Linked DNA regions of Lepisosteus oculatus. The protein of the gene in region 1 binds, or shares a complex with, the protein of each later gene. Links are inferred from orthologs where the notes say so. Each region holds a gene or a part of one and is shown on either strand. Other genes may lie near its edges. The genes, in order: cyfip2 and nckap1.

The links.
Region 2: cyfip2 (region 1) and nckap1 share a complex: the UniProt entries of both Homo sapiens proteins name them as parts of the WAVE1 complex. The link is inferred for Lepisosteus oculatus from reciprocal best matches to the Homo sapiens genes CYFIP2 and NCKAP1.

What each region holds. Positions count from the first base shown.
Region 1 is NC_090706.1:30,455,246-30,463,444, forward strand, and holds the start of cyfip2 (cytoplasmic FMR1-interacting protein 2), read left to right. Parts: upstream 1-5,126; 5' UTR 5,127-5,216; intron 5,217-8,199. Other genes in the region: itk (tyrosine-protein kinase ITK/TSK), read left to right, coding at 124-189. UniProt on the Homo sapiens protein: Involved in T-cell adhesion and p53/TP53-dependent induction of apoptosis. Does not bind RNA. As component of the WAVE1 complex, required for BDNF-NTRK2 endocytic trafficking and signaling from early endosomes.
Region 2 is NC_090707.1:18,461,643-18,469,802, reverse strand, and holds the start of nckap1 (nck-associated protein 1), read left to right. Parts: upstream 1-4,891; 5' UTR 4,892-5,109; coding exon 5,110-5,217; intron 5,218-8,160. Other genes in the region: dusp19a (dual specificity protein phosphatase 19), read right to left, coding at 1,697-1,849, 1,953-1,999, 2,731-2,953. UniProt on the Homo sapiens protein: Part of the WAVE complex that regulates lamellipodia formation. The WAVE complex regulates actin filament reorganization via its interaction with the Arp2/3 complex. Actin remodeling activity is regulated by RAC1.

The DNA.
Region 1 (8,199 bases):
TTCACAACACAACAAAGAGTTTTTCATTTTACCTATACTGTTATTGTTGGGATAGAAGAAGTTCTCCTGATGCAAACTTTTTAAACATTTTTTTTTCATGTTTTTGTTTAATTCTCTCCTTAGAAACCAGAAGACCGCCCATCTTTTGCAATTCTCTTCCATCAGCTGGCAGAAATTGCTGATTTCTGAAATTAAGCTGTTGGAAGCCCAGATGAAATGGACATAAACTGTATAAAGAAAAGAATATATATATATTTATACTGTATTTATTGCTTTTTCAGATACCAAAATTTACATTGCAGTAGCATACAAAAGCAGAAAAGCTACAAGGCTCTTAGACAAGGCCTTAACAAAAATGGTTCAGGTGGGGAGCTGCGTCAGCATGCGTAGGCTGCAAAGGAACAAGTAAAGATTCATTTGAAGAAGGTCCACAGCCGAAACGTTGATTCTTTTCTTCTCTTTTCAGCATGGATTAAACCTTTACCTGTTCCTTGACAGAAATTGTCACATGGTTGCTTAATAAATACCATCCTGCATTTGTGTTCTTTACAATATAATTTAACAGTAATCTTTTTCAGAATCGACCATGGGACTTTTTATGGCTATCATGACAAGCTATCCAGTCATGTTGTTTAGGCCAATATCCTGGTTTCATTCAAGGAATGGCTGGATGACATCCCCAATCAATTAACTACTAATTAACAATTGGTAGTTTGATAATTAACTACTTTTGGTATCAAATGGGCTGAATGTCTCCCTATTGTTTATAACCTTCCTTACATCTTTGTTACTTGCTTGTACAAATTCAGTTCTGAGAAATATTTTAATCCTGACATCTTGTATTTTAATTACATTTTTCCTATAGTTAATTATGATTTCCATAAACACCTACTCTTACAAACAGTGCAGCTTTAACAACTATAAAGCTAAGAGCCAGGTTTAAATTCTCAGTCAGATGGTTACTCTGGCCTGCTGGTCCACAGCCTACAACAGCTGCAGGTTCGTTTTGCTCAGAGTAGGAGCTCCCAGCCTTGGTCCCGGAGATCCACACATCTGCTGATTTGAGTGCTCCAGCTGAGCAATCAGTTGAACCCCTTAACAGACCAAATTATAGGTGTATAAATGTGACTTCTTTAGTTGTTTTGAATTGTTAAACATGTAGGAGGTTGCCTTTTAATGATTGTGTTTCAAATGGAACTTAAGGTATCAAACCTTTCAGTCCAGAAAACATAGTTACAACGGTAACAACCAGGACAGTCACTGGTTCAGTTAAGGATTTATCTGGTGTGTGAGGTGCAGGACTGGGGATTTTCCATTCCTGTGTTGGTCAGTCCCATCATTGCCTAGCTTCTAATCAGGCTACAAAGTGGTACACTGACAGATAATGTCACACTAACACTTGTACAGATGCTTACACACTGATAGACCCTCAAACCTTTACAACGGCACACTGCTGTGATGACAGATAATCTCACACTGACACTCTTACACTCACTCTATTGATCATCCATTATTTTTATTACATTATTTTTTTAGTTATTTTTAGATACTATCAGAAATCTGCATATTTCTGGTATAGGTAAAGGTTGCGGTAACCTGCAGCCTAACACAGACAGACAGCGTACAAGGCAGAACTACACTCTAGATGGGAGTCCAGTCCATCGGGACTCACAGAAGGACCATGTAGAGCACCAGTTAAACAGGCCTTTGGGAGGCAGGAGGAACAGAGGGGGGAAATCTGAATTGCCTGTTGTGCTAACCATTAGCGTTGCGAGCATTTGTCTGTTCATATGAAAGAGTGACATCTATTGGCAGTAATTGATTTTCTTGTGAATGTGATTGTTCAGTCTGTGCGAGATTCTTTAGCTCTCACAACTATTCCAAGAGTGTAAAAAGGTTAGCTTTGTTAATGTATTCAAAGGTTTTTGTTTTTATTACTTTAATTCCATTAAGGAGGAAACAATGGCTTAGTTGCATTCGTTGCTATGTGCAATTTTAAAATCCTATTTTTTTAATCCGTATATTACCTTCTTCATGTATTGAATGCTCCTTCTAATTTATCTGAAAGCACTACTTTCTGTATAACATTCAATTGTCTCCTTATCTGTAAAAAGAATAAGAAATATTTTTTCTATATCAACCCAGTCATGCAGCTTATTTGAACACGATAATACAGTATAACACACACTTTAATATTTTACATTTTAGTAGTTATCTTTACTTATTGGTCTATAAGTACCTTGATTTTGTAAGTAAACAATTAAAAAATGGAATGTATTACATTTTTCTCCTTGTGTTTGTGTCAGAAGTTGCTGTGAAGTCCAGTTACTAAAAAAACACAACTGTAACAGTAATAATGGGTAATGTTTCTTTTTAAACTGTTAACACCATAAGATAAGTAACAGTAAATCATTGTGTGCAATGGAAGATGGGGCACAATGAGATCTGGAGAAACGCAAACACTAAAAAATATTCCAGTCTTTACATTTAGAGAGTAGAACTGCAGTGGCCCTTCCAAACTTCTTGTTTTGGAACTAAAGGAAGCAATTAGGTAAGAGGCATGATTTATAAGGCAGTTTTGTATTCCTAATATTTTTTCCACTGTCCTGTTCAAAAGAGAACAAAGGTTTGTGAGAAAGGGAAACCCTAAAGTGTCTTAAGAGTTACCTCTAAAAAAGCTAAATGTTTTCACCTTATTTTCTCCCTCACTTAAAAATAATAGGCCCAGTGGGTGGGCTTGTCATAGTTGATACAGTTCAGAGGAGCAGAGTGAGACACACATGTTGTATAGGTTTGTACCCTGTGCTAGTTTTTGTTATATGCAATTCAAAGGATGCTCACTATTATTAACCACTAAAATAATTGTGCCTGAAATCAATACATTATAATTCTCTTAAATCTATAACCAAGGATGATCTACTTCAATAATTGTTCTAAGAATAAATTGCAGCTCCAGTATATAACATTTTTATCCAAAGCATCTTGCATATTATCACATATTAAAGATTTCGCAAGTTAATCAGTATTGCAGTACCGCCATTCTTTCGATAAAATCAACTTAGTGTAGTACAATTGTTCTTTTACAACTGTGGACCTAAATAACAAGATATCTAATCTACTTACCATGATTTGGTCAGAGACAAAATACATGTTCATGTATGAAAAGTTTTATTCTTATCTGAGCATTGCTTCACATTTCCCTGTAAATGTCTGATGCTTTAATGTCCCAGAGGTGGTACAGTATGTCTCACTGTGTCCTGCCTGACGTATCATTACATTAGGCGGGGCACCAAAAAGGGTGAGGCTCAGTGAGACAGCTTTCAAAAATTGCTTATATCTTCTGTTATACCCTCTGTTTATAGTGTTGTATTGTTATATTGTCCATGGTTACGGTTGATATGCCAAAAAGGAGTGATTATGAGAGAAATCACTTTAAAGTTTCTGGTTTCTATAAACACAACAGACACTTGTGTCTCAGTGTACCACCACTCTCCTCTGTGTTTTGTTAACGGATACTGAGATTGATTTGTGGCATGTCTAGAAATTATTTTTTTACCCGACTTGATATATTTCAGACACTACAATTTAACTGTGACCCACCTGCACAAGGACAGCCACACGAGATAAGGGAAGGATGGGGGAAGGAAAATGTTAATTTCACATCTTGTATATCCATATTTAGGAAAATAAATGTTATCTGAAGTTCATAACAATGGTACAGGACACACTCCATTTTCCACTGATCACTGACTGTAAGGTATAATAGGCCTTTAAGTCACTATTTCATAGTGTTTGTCACAATATCACCTATTGGTATCCATCCCTCCTAGTGCCACTGCCAATGTAGAAAACATCTGGTTTATAATATAGCGGGTCTCATACATTTATCCACGTGGATGTCTCAAGCAGGTTTAAGCCTAGCCGTACCAATAAATGTTCCACACTCCCATTATTGGGGTTTGTGTGTTTCTTTGAATTAAGGGTTTTACTATACATAATTCAGTATGAGAATTAAAACAAACTCAACTCTTAGAATTACATTGATCTTGTCATGGTTTCTTTATGTTCTATATATCAAATCTGGGTTCATCTTAGAACGGTATCGTTGAGCTACAGTATTTATAAGAGGTTCGGTTTAGTACTTTTTTGTGTTTGTTCAACCCAAGTATTTGCATTCTGCAGATACCAGTTACAGTACTTACCCGTTTTCGAAGACCAGTAGACATGGAAGTCAGTTGTTCTCTTTAAGTTTCGTTTTTTATCTTCTACTGTTCTGTTTTTCGTGTTATGCTTTTAAACTAAGAACTTTTTATTCTTTTTTTATCTTCGCACGTTTCTTGTTCAACACTCCAGGACAACCCTGACATGAATATGCTCGATACAAAAAAAAAAAAACTGGTTTAATTTTTTTTGGCCATGTAATAACCGAAATAGTCTCCATCATGCAGTATTATACTGTATGGTTTGAAACCCCGCTTCCAAGTGAAAGAGGAATAACTTCTGTAAATTATGTACACATCAGTGTCATTTGCACAATTTGATGGTTTTATCATTCAAGTGCTGCCGTTGGAATAAACTCAATGCAGATTTCAGTCTGGGTTATGGTTCAGTTACCATGAATTGGCTTGCTGATTGATATTGTAACGCATACGGCTACAATATTAATATTAATTTGTATATAGCTACAGTTTATAAAATAACGCGAGCTTTCTATGTTGAGGGGAAGGGCAGATTAAATGCATCAACAACTGGACTGAGAACATTAAATGAAAAAAAAATACTCTTCCAACCTGCACATTCATCCACTAAATATAGCTAACGCGAACCGCTTCGGAGCCGAGCAGTGATGTGACTGCTGCTGTGTTGACTGTCATGTAGCTTTAAGGAAACACATTTGCAGCCATTTTCTGCTCTTTGTGTTTCGGGGATTAGCGGATGAGCATTCTGCCAGGCAAGAGCATCACTGAGACATCACCACTTTAAAACACAGGTCTGAGGCGTAAATGCGAACCGTTCCGTCAGCATCGCCAAAAAGGGTCATGCGAGCATCAGGTAAGATTTAATTCTTTATCATCAATATTGTTCAAACGCGATGAGAGAGATGGCACAGACCTGCCAATGGGTTTAGTGCAGTTACATGATGCTGTATGCTACCACAGGCTTTGCTATTTAGATAATTGTAATATATGAGAAAAAATTGTGGACATTTTTTGCAGGTGACTAAATCTATGGATAAGTATAAATATTTTTTCCTTACTATCCTTTAGGTATTCTAGAAGATTTTTCTCTCGAACGTGATAATGCATAAGCCTCAGCTACCATTCGAGTATTTTTTAATTGGGTGGGGTGAACTGTGTCTATGTGTGCTACTCGGTATTGTAATTCCTGTATGTCTTACTTGATATCGGATGTGTGCATTACTTTTCACGAATGACGGGTTTTCAGAAAAATATAGATTATGGGTTTTTTTTCTAAATGATGAAAAATACATAACATCTCTATATTCATGTCGCGATCCTTATCTACAGTTTAAACCTGCATTCACTCAAATTTGGTGTCTGTTATTGTTTTCAATACATTTTGAAGTGATGGACCTGGGCTTTATTTTATTTTTAATTTTGTGTCGCTTTACACGACGTGTCTCTTTAAATCCACCTGAATACCCAGAGCTGGATGTCGCGGTTCTGATAGGATCTCTGTGGTGTCATGCAGGCAGCTTGCAATAGCCAGGCCTCGTATAGTTATTTTTTTCTGCAATCGAAAAACTAGAGCAAATATGCAAATTAAGAATAATAATATTCATGAAGCATGGTCTCTCATTTTCTATTATTACCTGGTTTCAACTGGTTGATTTGTTTCTGTTGCAGTCACTCTGCCTGAACATTAAGAAATACTTTGTATCTCCTCAAACGCTACGTGACGCCCTGTTCTCAGTAATTCAAGTACTGTAGCTACACGATCCCTAGTCTAGACCTGAATAATGCATAATATCAAACCTTGGGCACGTACATTAAATAACGTATAACTGAGTGAAAATGTTATGTTGTCATTCAGCCATTTGCACAACCAAATCCAAATATGTTGTAACCAGGAGCTTGGTAATCCGGTACGCAATGACTTCAAAGAAAAAAAAAACGTTTTTTATCATTTTTATGACAGCAGAAACTCTTTGCTAAAAATTTGTTTATAAAATTAAAAAAAATGATGCAAACATTTAGATGAGTTACATTTGTATAGAATTAATTTTAAAAAAACTTGTTAAGGAAAAATGTGTTAGACAGTGGTAGGGCTCTATTACACCTTATAATATATCATAGAAAGCATTACATAGTCTGTTGTAAAAATGATAAGTGCTTTAAGATAAGCTTTTTAAAAGCTTTCTTTGTTGCATCAAATTGACTTACACCTTCTCCTAAATGGTGTTTTACTTCTGCCATTGTGTGGAAAGTTTGCTGTTTTGTGGCCAGGAACATTTCTCCTGAACTGTTTTGGTCACAAGTCAGATCCTTGTTGTATGTACAGTATGAACTACCAAAATGCAACTTCGAAGTCTGTAACTTCCTACTGTACCTGCTAACTTGGTGCAAAGCTTGACAGGAACTGCTTGATGCAATGGTTCTGAAGTCATACCATTGTTCTTTTCCTATTGTATGTACTGTATGTGGTGTTCATGTGTGTCTCATTAAGAATGTATCCCAGGGAACCGGGGAACAGGAACCAAGGGGGAAATTATTTCCCATCACAATCATTGCCTAGTTAAACTATCAAGGAGACTTGGCAATAAAGCACGGGACTATCCAGCAGTGATATAACACTTAAATAAGCAGGACCCCAAATTTACAGACAGCTCTAGAACACAACTGATGTGTTTTATTTTGGCATAATCACAAGTTATTGTTTGTAGACCCAGGTAATTCAGCAGTCCTGGGAACAGATACCATCCTCTTACATCAGTTCCTCGTTTGAATGTGTTCTCGCATGCACACAAGAGAAATCTGACAAACCTCTGCTTAGGACTTAGAGGTATCATGGTTTTTGCTTCTATTTGCAACAGAACGCAAACTGTAGAGTGTGTATGTCTAACCCTGGGCGTGGAGAGCCTCAGTCCAGCCGGGTTTATAACCAACAAGTTAATCTGCAGTTTCTAAAGGTTGAGAGCACTTTTGTTTCAGGTGTGAGTATCACATGCCCATGTCTTTACTTTTGACATGAGAACAAACAGATAAGGTGAGTTCTCAGTGTTTGAGGGAGAATTAAAGCTTTATTAGCGTCCAGTATAAACAAGATAAAAGTTGTCTGCAAAGTATGACATTTCAGACCAAATTAAGGGCAACATTCAATTAAACCTAAAGTGCGTTTAGCTCAGAGATTGTTGGCTTTCTAAGCCAAGTGGGATTTCTGTCCCCTAAATTTTCTTTGGAAGGACTGAGAACTCTTCAAACCCTTTGCCAAGTTCAGGTCTTGCCACTGTTGGGAAACTATACTATAGTGTCTTATAGGAGTTAGTGCGGATTTGAGGAGCAACACATCTCCTGGATACTTACTTTATAAACCCAGATGGGAGATTTGCACTGTAGGCAGATAAAAAAGGCAATCACAATACATAGTACTTTTAAAACAACATGAGTCCATTAACAAATTAAAAACATACACGCCATAAGATTAAAAAATAGAAGCAATCCTCACTGTCCAAAATAGGTACATAAAACATTGGACAATCTGTGAGTGAAATAGATACCGTACCTCAGTAAGATACAAACATGATGGAAATAAAACGTAACAATCCATTGCTTTGTGTGAATTGAGCAGGTTCGTAGTTGTGGGAATGAAAAATCTAAAATGAAAGAATGAAAGAACATTTGCACTTAAATCTAGGCAGTCTAAATCGACAGAGGGAGTTAGGATTTACTGTACTAGGTCAATCAGTGACTAAATTGGCTTTCCACACTTCTTTTTTAGTATAGATGCCTGACAGCTAGAAGCTGTTGTACGCTGATACCTTTGCTGGCTACCTTCACTAGGTAATCACATGGTCCATCGCTGAACCACCAACATCTACACTCTTAAACAAGAAGCTTTACTGTTTGAGCTACTCGGGAGTTCTCTTCTTTTGTACGGTTTTGTCTGGTTCTGTGAAAGTACTGGATTATACTGTAAGTGTGGATGAAAACTTTTCTTTCTTCAGTGAGCCAGCTTAAG
Region 2 (8,160 bases), on another chromosome or scaffold:
CACATAGTACTTAACACTGTCTTGCTTTTTTAACTTTGTGAAAAAAGCATTTAAGAAGAATTAGAAACAATACACAACCAGTGTCAAGATTAAAAGGTAGAACCTTCATGAGAGGCATGAAGTAAGATCCAGAACCATATACAAATCGTGAAAATACCTTCATACTGCATCTACGTTTAGTAGATGTGTTGGTCAAAAACATGCATCCATCCATTTTTAACCCCTTTTTCCAATTCAGGATCACAGGAAAACCTATGCCTATGCCAGCAAGCATATTGTATTCCCTAATTACAGCAAAAAATGATACATAGCCATATTATTAAATAAAAATGAAGTTTCTCTCCCTGTCTTTGTTTGTTAGAGTTGGTAAATGTAAAGGAAATCATCACTGGTTATCTTCTCTTAATTTTCTTTAACCTCTTTAATGAAGTTGCATTTGTTTCCTCATAGACTTGGCACTTACTATACAGTATATTAAGAAAAGGTGTTTTCAACACATATGTTAGCTGAAAACACAATTTCATTGAAATAGATTATATTTTATTATACCTAAAAGGACTTGAAAAAAATTAGCCTTTAGAAAACCTCTACATTTGCAAGAGAACAATAAGATGACACACTAGTGGAGGGGAGCCCCCATTACCTGTAAAGCGCTTTGAGTGGAGTGTCCAGAAAAGCGCTATATAAGTGTAAGACATTATTATTCATTATTACTAGTATTCCATGTAATTATAATCAATAAAACATGATGTCAGAATTAATTGGATTGCAAACGAAAATGGTGACAGATCAATTTTAAGTGTAAAGTGGAAACTTATTTTTAATACATGATGTAATTATATACTGTACCTCCGTGAGTTCCTTTAATGCAATAGAGTAAGGCAGCTGATTACCATGACACTGGTTTGGCAACAAGGCTGCATGAGATACAATGGCCTGTAGAGATATGATCGTTATCTACCTACTGAATAATGGATCATGAAAACTAGCACTGCCATGTTGATATCAGGTGCAAGGAATGCTCTGCACCAGCAGACTGCGGGGTATCAAATAGGCAGTCTCCTAAAACTGACCACTCAGGAAATTACTGCAAAGATTTAGTTAACGAGATTATCAGATTTCTTCATTAAATACATTAACAAGTGGCATGGTGGCACAGTGGTTAACACAGCTACTTCACTGCCCGGGACCCTGGTTCAATTCCGGACCTGGCATCCTGCTGTATCTGCGTGGGGTGTTCTTCCCGCATTCACATGCATTTTCTCTGGGGGCTCCGGTTTCCTCCCACAGTCCAAAAACAAACTGATAGGTCAATTGATGTCTGGGACAATGGGCCTTACAGTAGGTGTGAGTGTGTGCGTGTCTGTGTCAGTCTGCCTTGTACCTGTTGCTTGCTGGGATAGGATCTGGCTCTCCTGCAACCCTGAGGCAATTAGAAAATGGATGGATGTATGGAAACACGCTGACAGGTCTCCTAGAATTTTTTTAATACATGATATACTCCTTACTTGCTTTTTAACTAATCTAGCAGTATGATTAGATGAACAAATTGTTACATACTTTCTTAAATTAAAATAAATGAAATATAACTTAAGTTTGTGAAAAGAAATTACAATCTAGAGATCTATCAAAGGGGACACCCTTTTGTTTCGTAAAGTAACATACTATTTTAATGCAACAAAAGTATAAGGCCTACCTGTGCCTTGACCTGCTCTATAAACTCTGAACATTCCTGGAAATATGAGGTAATGACAGTCTCTGGAAGATCCAGTATGGAAAGCTGCTTATAAACAAACTGATCTTGAAAAGTGTTTTCAACACCATATGCAACATTCAATATGTGTGTAACCTGAAAAAGATCAACAGTAAATGTTACTGAAAATACACTCATCGAAGGCCAATGTGTAAAGAAATTTAAATATCATACAGCAGACACTGAAAATAAATAATACCTTAAATTTCTTTAATATATCAAAGTCCTGGGCAACATCTTGTGAGGCTAGAACAAAAAAGAACACTGACATCAATGTTTTAGTTAATAATAGTTGTCATTTTCACACTAATACTGCAGTTATTATTCTAGTGTTTTAACACTAGAAGGGAAGATGGTTGGCTTATTACAGGAACCTGAGAGAGTGGACATGTATGCTACTTAGCGTAACTCATCCATCCATATTAAGTGCTTGAACAGAACTACAGTTTTCTTTAAATAATCTAAAATCAGAGCCCCGCCTCAAAAGACAAGCATTTTACAGAGCATGTTTTAAATGTTGCATCTCATATGCAATTCACAAGCTTCTCTGATAAAGGGGACTGTATTAAAAACAAGTGTAGAAAGTACCATAAAAAACATTTTTTAACTATTCATTGATAAAGGACTCATTTAAAATTAATACTTTAAGCATATACCAAAGTTCATAACCAAAAACACAACACTGAAATTAAACATCAATGTATCTTAATATACAGTAACTGATTTGTGCTTCCAGAAGCGTTTCTTACTTGCAGTGCCTTGTTTGCTATCCCTGAAGTCAACAGCTGCTCTAACTTCTTAAAATAATAAGGCATTTCCCCCATCCATAGTAAAACTTCAGAACGCTTAAGCTAAATGGAATTGAAAACTTAACACGTGGTTCAAAAATGAATTCTGACAGCTTTGCTGCTAAGTGCAATTTTTTTTTCTTAAATCTGTGTGAATGACATTTGACAATGCAAAACTATTTGTCTCACCAAGCAGTAACCAAGGTTTGACGATACCGACTTGGAGATCCAAACTGAGATCCTGAACATATCCACAAGCACCTTCGGGTTGTACGGTTTCTTCAACCACCTGCACAGTGGAGTCTTTCCACGTTTCTATTATTCTTTTCCCAGTTAAAGTCGTTACCCTGGTACATTGCTTTTTCAGTGCCGACTTTGAAAAAGCCTTTATTTCTTGAGCAAGCGAATGCATTACATGTGTGTTACAGGAACAGTTCAAAGCAGAAAAAGTCTACAGTAACTCAGCTGTCCACTTGCCGCAATGGGATTCCAATACGCTCTTGTACTTCACCGAAGATCTCATCACTTGCTATCAACTGCCTGAAAACCGAGAAGAAACCATCTGTAACCTAGATATATTTTTGGGAGCATGTAGTACTTTAAAACATCGCCACCTGTAGGTGCGGAAGTCTATGGCAGCGTACACCCCGGTTATCACCAATTGCTGCGTACTGTACTTCATTCACAGAAGAAACAGGCTAGTGTTCATTCCCAAGAACTGACTTCCTAGGCGTCACGTTTACTGAAAATGGATGGCTGGATAATTCCGAGCTTCCTCTTAGAAGAAAAACGTGTTATTTTTTTAGAAAACACAAAACACATTAAACGACCCCTCTATTAGAATCACGTTATCTTTCGTCATATTTTAAAATATTAAACATTATATTAGCACACAAATAATTCAAGTGTAATGTAAATATACCTAGACAGAATGGGTAAAACTGATTAATTTAGTGGTGAATATAAAATGAAAAAAAAAGTATCAAAATCAAGGACGCGATGAAAACAGTCTTTTTGTATTAATATATCAATATTTTTTTTATTTTTAGTGGAGATAGCACAGATAAAAAACTTGAAATAAAGGATATCCCACATAGATTTTATAAATCTATTCTATTTATTATATTCTATTGTTATAAACTTAAATATTATAAACTTCAAATATACTCAGGAATATTGGATGACATATACCATATTTTATGTTTAAACTAGATATATTTCGCTGTTTTTGTGATATACTACTGTTGTTATATACAACTGCATATTGTTTTTGTGAGACATGAGGCATTGTAAAAGTATTCACACTCTTCTAATGATATAGATATGAGAAAATAAAGCAGGAAGTAATGTACAGTAATGTACATGTATTTTGATATGAATTTGATAATGTACATTATCACATGATTGGAGATCATGGCGAGTACATAAAGTGTTATCCCTTGTAATGTCTGAAAAGGGTGCCCACCAGATGAGAGACCAGCATCATGAAAAATGCAGTTATTATTTAAATAGGGTCAAATAATCCCTGTGTTTTTTTGGAAAACTACGTGTTTATGATGCTTGAGTATTTGCATTAAATTAATTACTTTGTGCACCTTAATAAATTAGGTTTTCCATAGCGGTGTGTGTGGGGGGTATGTACTTAAAGTAACTTCAATTTTAGATTCTTGTTTGCAGTTTTTAGTATTTATTATATTGATATATTCACAATTAAGTTTATTTATGTACAATATTTAAATCCCTGATCCCTGGGTTCAATTCTGGACCTGGGTTGCTATCTGTGTGGAGTTTGTATGTTCTGTTTATGTGTTTGCATGGTTTCCTGGTGTGAGTCTGTGCGTTCCCTGCAATGGACTAGCATCCTACAGTATCTTAGATGTGTTCTGCCTTATACCCATTGCCTGCTGGTATAGATTCCAGCTCATCCATAACTCTGTATAAACCCTGTATTGGATAAAGTGGTTAGAAAATGCTTAAAAAGGTGTATGCATAACTTGACCCATGATAAAGAATTCAATAAAAAATATGATAATGGTAAGTCTGTAAAGCAGTCTTCTACTGACATTTAGGAAAATAAAGTGCCTCGGAGTTTCAGTAGTTGCTTTGCTCAGGATAAACGCGTATTGTGTTGGTGGAAAACAGAACATCTCCCAGAGAAGAAGCCAATGTAACGGACACAAGCACCACAGTCAGCGTATAAATAATCCCTACTGAAATTAAGAAGTAGTGGGCCATTTTAAAATTCGAATCATTATCTGCGGTATGAAAACACTGTGCTAGTAACAGGCTGTCAATTTGGACCACAGAGGCGGAAATCAGTGCAATGGGAGTCACGTGACATGCGTCGGTGTTGCAGGAAACGGCCTCGTTCTGAGAGTCAGGGCAACACCTAGAGAAAACAGGGAGACAGCGGAGGGCAGAGCGGGGGGGAGTTTTGCGAAGCTGTTTATCCGTAATATGGGAAGAAAATAACACTAAGACGCTCGGGGTCATAATAGGTCCGAATCACACACTACACAGCGAAGGTTTTACGGCGTGCTCCGTTTTGTGAAACACTAAGCAAGCAGCATGTCGAGGGGTGTGCTGCAGCCAAGCCAGCAGAAGCTGGCGGAGAAACTGACCATCCTCAACGACAGGGGAATCGGGATGCTCACCCGCATTTATAACATCAAAAAGGTAAGGTGGCGTTATAATGCACAGGGTGCTTGTTTTCGGGGGGGTCGCAGTCCTTACGGTAAAGTGTTCTGTGAGCATCATTGTTTCCTAGACGTTTGGAAGCCATAGCTGGCATTGCAACATGACTCTGCAGAGCCTGGGAATGGGGATATGGACAGGAAGAATGCACCCAAGGCCTGGAATGGCATGTAACACAAGCAGTGTACTGAAAAGAGGAAATTACTTCAATTCTTGTTATTGGCGGCCAGTCTGTGAATTAAATCTGGCAGATCTTTGTTTTTGGTTTTTTTTTTTCACCTGCTGGCAGAGTGTTTTCATTCTCCGCGGTATGGTGTTTAAAACGCGAGCTTAAAAGCCCCTTCGCTGTTTTGTAGTACATAGCGAGCTGTGTAGCACGTCAGCATGTAGAAGAATGGTTGGCGTTTCCAGTTGTTGTGAAGCTTTGGAGCGATGGGCAGCGAGAGTGAAACAACTTGTTTGCACCGAGACCGCAGCGTGAGACATCGCGACATAATTGTTTCTCGCTGTGTGGTTGTGTGATAGTTTTGATTGGTAAGCTCATCACGGCAATGTAGCATTAATGTGGGCTCCATAAAAAAAAAATGGACGGTAACATTTTAACTTGTCAGTTTATTTGTATAAAAATTGACATTGCCCTTCGTTGGTGATTTTAGTGCCCTAAGCCGTATTGGTGGAGAGCTGACAGCGGAGGAAAGCGTTAGACTGCGTCCTGTTTTTGTTAAATTTCATGGCTGGCAGTAGGTGACAGATTTTTTAAATCGCTCGAGTTATATATTAGTGCAAGAGGAATCAATTAATAAAATGTACACTTAACCGTGTATTTTTTTAAAGCTGTAGTTTACCCATAGATTCTTAACAATGCACCTCAATATTTTGTATCAGTGTATTTTGGAAAGCTGCTGAATTATAAAATAAGAATTGATTTAACGCCTTATAGCATTTCTGGATTAAATACCATTGGAAAAAATGCATGAAATACAGGAAATATTTATTAAGCTTTGTGGGCCGTTTCTATATTTAACATGAATATTACTCAATACTTTTAATTGAAAAACAAAACAAAAAGCACTATAATCATATAAATGGCGTAGGGCTTAAAGGAAGATAATTTACATTTGATAGAAGAGGAAGACAGACATACATCAGGTAATACTTCTATCCCGCTTAATGTGAGTGAATCAGCACATATGTAGGGTGTTGGTTTTTTTATGTCTGGAAACTTGCAGAAACTTCAGGAATACACCTGTATTGTATTGTAGTGTCCTATTTGTTTTTGTATTTCTTTTTTGGCCCATAAGTGTTTTTCCCTAATTTGTCCAGTTTTAGTGTCAAAACCTAATTTCTAACTTCTTTGCAGAACAAAGCCAGGAATTTTAGTTTTGACATGTCTGGTTTAAATCATCAGAATAAAAGTATAAAATACATGAATGAGGTAAAAGCTAATGTTCCTCTACAGATCCTCTAGGGGGAAAACGTGTCCCTGTTAACTGCAATTTACAGAAAAGAGTACATATCCTAGCAGGTTCTGTTGTGTGCATTTGTTTGTGGTCATGTGAAGTGGACCAAAATGTATTTTAAAAGGGTGTGATTGAAACAACTTATCTAAAGATAGCCTACATGTACAGAGATATTTTGTGTGTTTTCATTGTAATGTTTTCATTATTTTTGGCACTTGTAATCTATATGAATAATCAATGTGGTCTTTTTTCTATTGTTTGGTCAGAAGTTATTTTTCTTAATATTATGTATTGTTTGTCGAAAAAGTAGGCACATATTTAATGTTCAGTATAACAAAATAAAGCATAGATCCAGATATTTACCAGTCATCTTTTGCAACATTGTTTTAGATATGAGGTTGATTTTTTTTAATAGTCACATTTAGTATAGTACTCCACATCTTACTCTTACTGGAATGCAAATGGTCAAAAGACTACATAAAGCAAAGTGAGATGTTTTGTGAGTTAAAGGCTTTTGCGTACATAGGCTACCTATATGCATAAAGGTTAAAAAAAATCTTCTTTGGTCTTGCTGTTTGATTGATAAGTTAAAAAACTGAATGTCTGAAGCTTATGCCATGCCAAAAGAAACAGCACATTTCCTTGTTTTATTTACCTTAGTAATGTTATTGGTTGACATATTCTGCCATTTTGGGCACCATACTGTGTCAACTAGTAGACAGCTGCAGATTTGGATAATCCACAAGCATCACAGACACTGTATGCAAGCTTCATGCAGAAATCACATAATTGTAGCACATTTTCCAGCCAAAAGGGATCCAAGCTAATAGAACACATTAGGCAATCCATGTTATGCTTATTTTTCAGATTGTCAGTTTTGAATTTCTTGATATTGACTTTGAGAGCTTTCCTAATTTTTTAAATTTCCGGTTTATGCGTATTGAATAAGGTCTTGATTAAAAATTAGGAAAATTAAAAAAAAAAATACGTTTTTTCAAATATGTAAGGACAAACACCAAAAACAGTACTTTTGTTTAATACCTTGCTCATAAAACTTTTTATATGTACAAATGCGTTAAGTTCTTATAAAACATGACTATGAGCCTGAAAGTGACCTAAGTTTCTGACAAGCTAGAATTGTTTGTTGCTGTTCAGGTGGGTTAATAAAAATAGGTTGAGCATATTGTTACAAATTGGGGGTTACGAAGAAGTGTTTACTCCAAGTGTCACAAACATTATCTAAAATCTACGAGACACTTCTCAGTCACCTAAAGCTGTAACAATATTAATTGATTTTTTTAAAAAAATCTGTATTCTGTATAAATTATACATTATATAAAAATATCATTTTTATTAAAAAAAAAGATTATGCTGAGTGCCTGCTTTTTTTAAATTAGTTTTGCCCCATCGAGGTCTAGTATCTAACAACAGTCTGCAAAAGGACTAGATCCAGTTGATCTTTCCA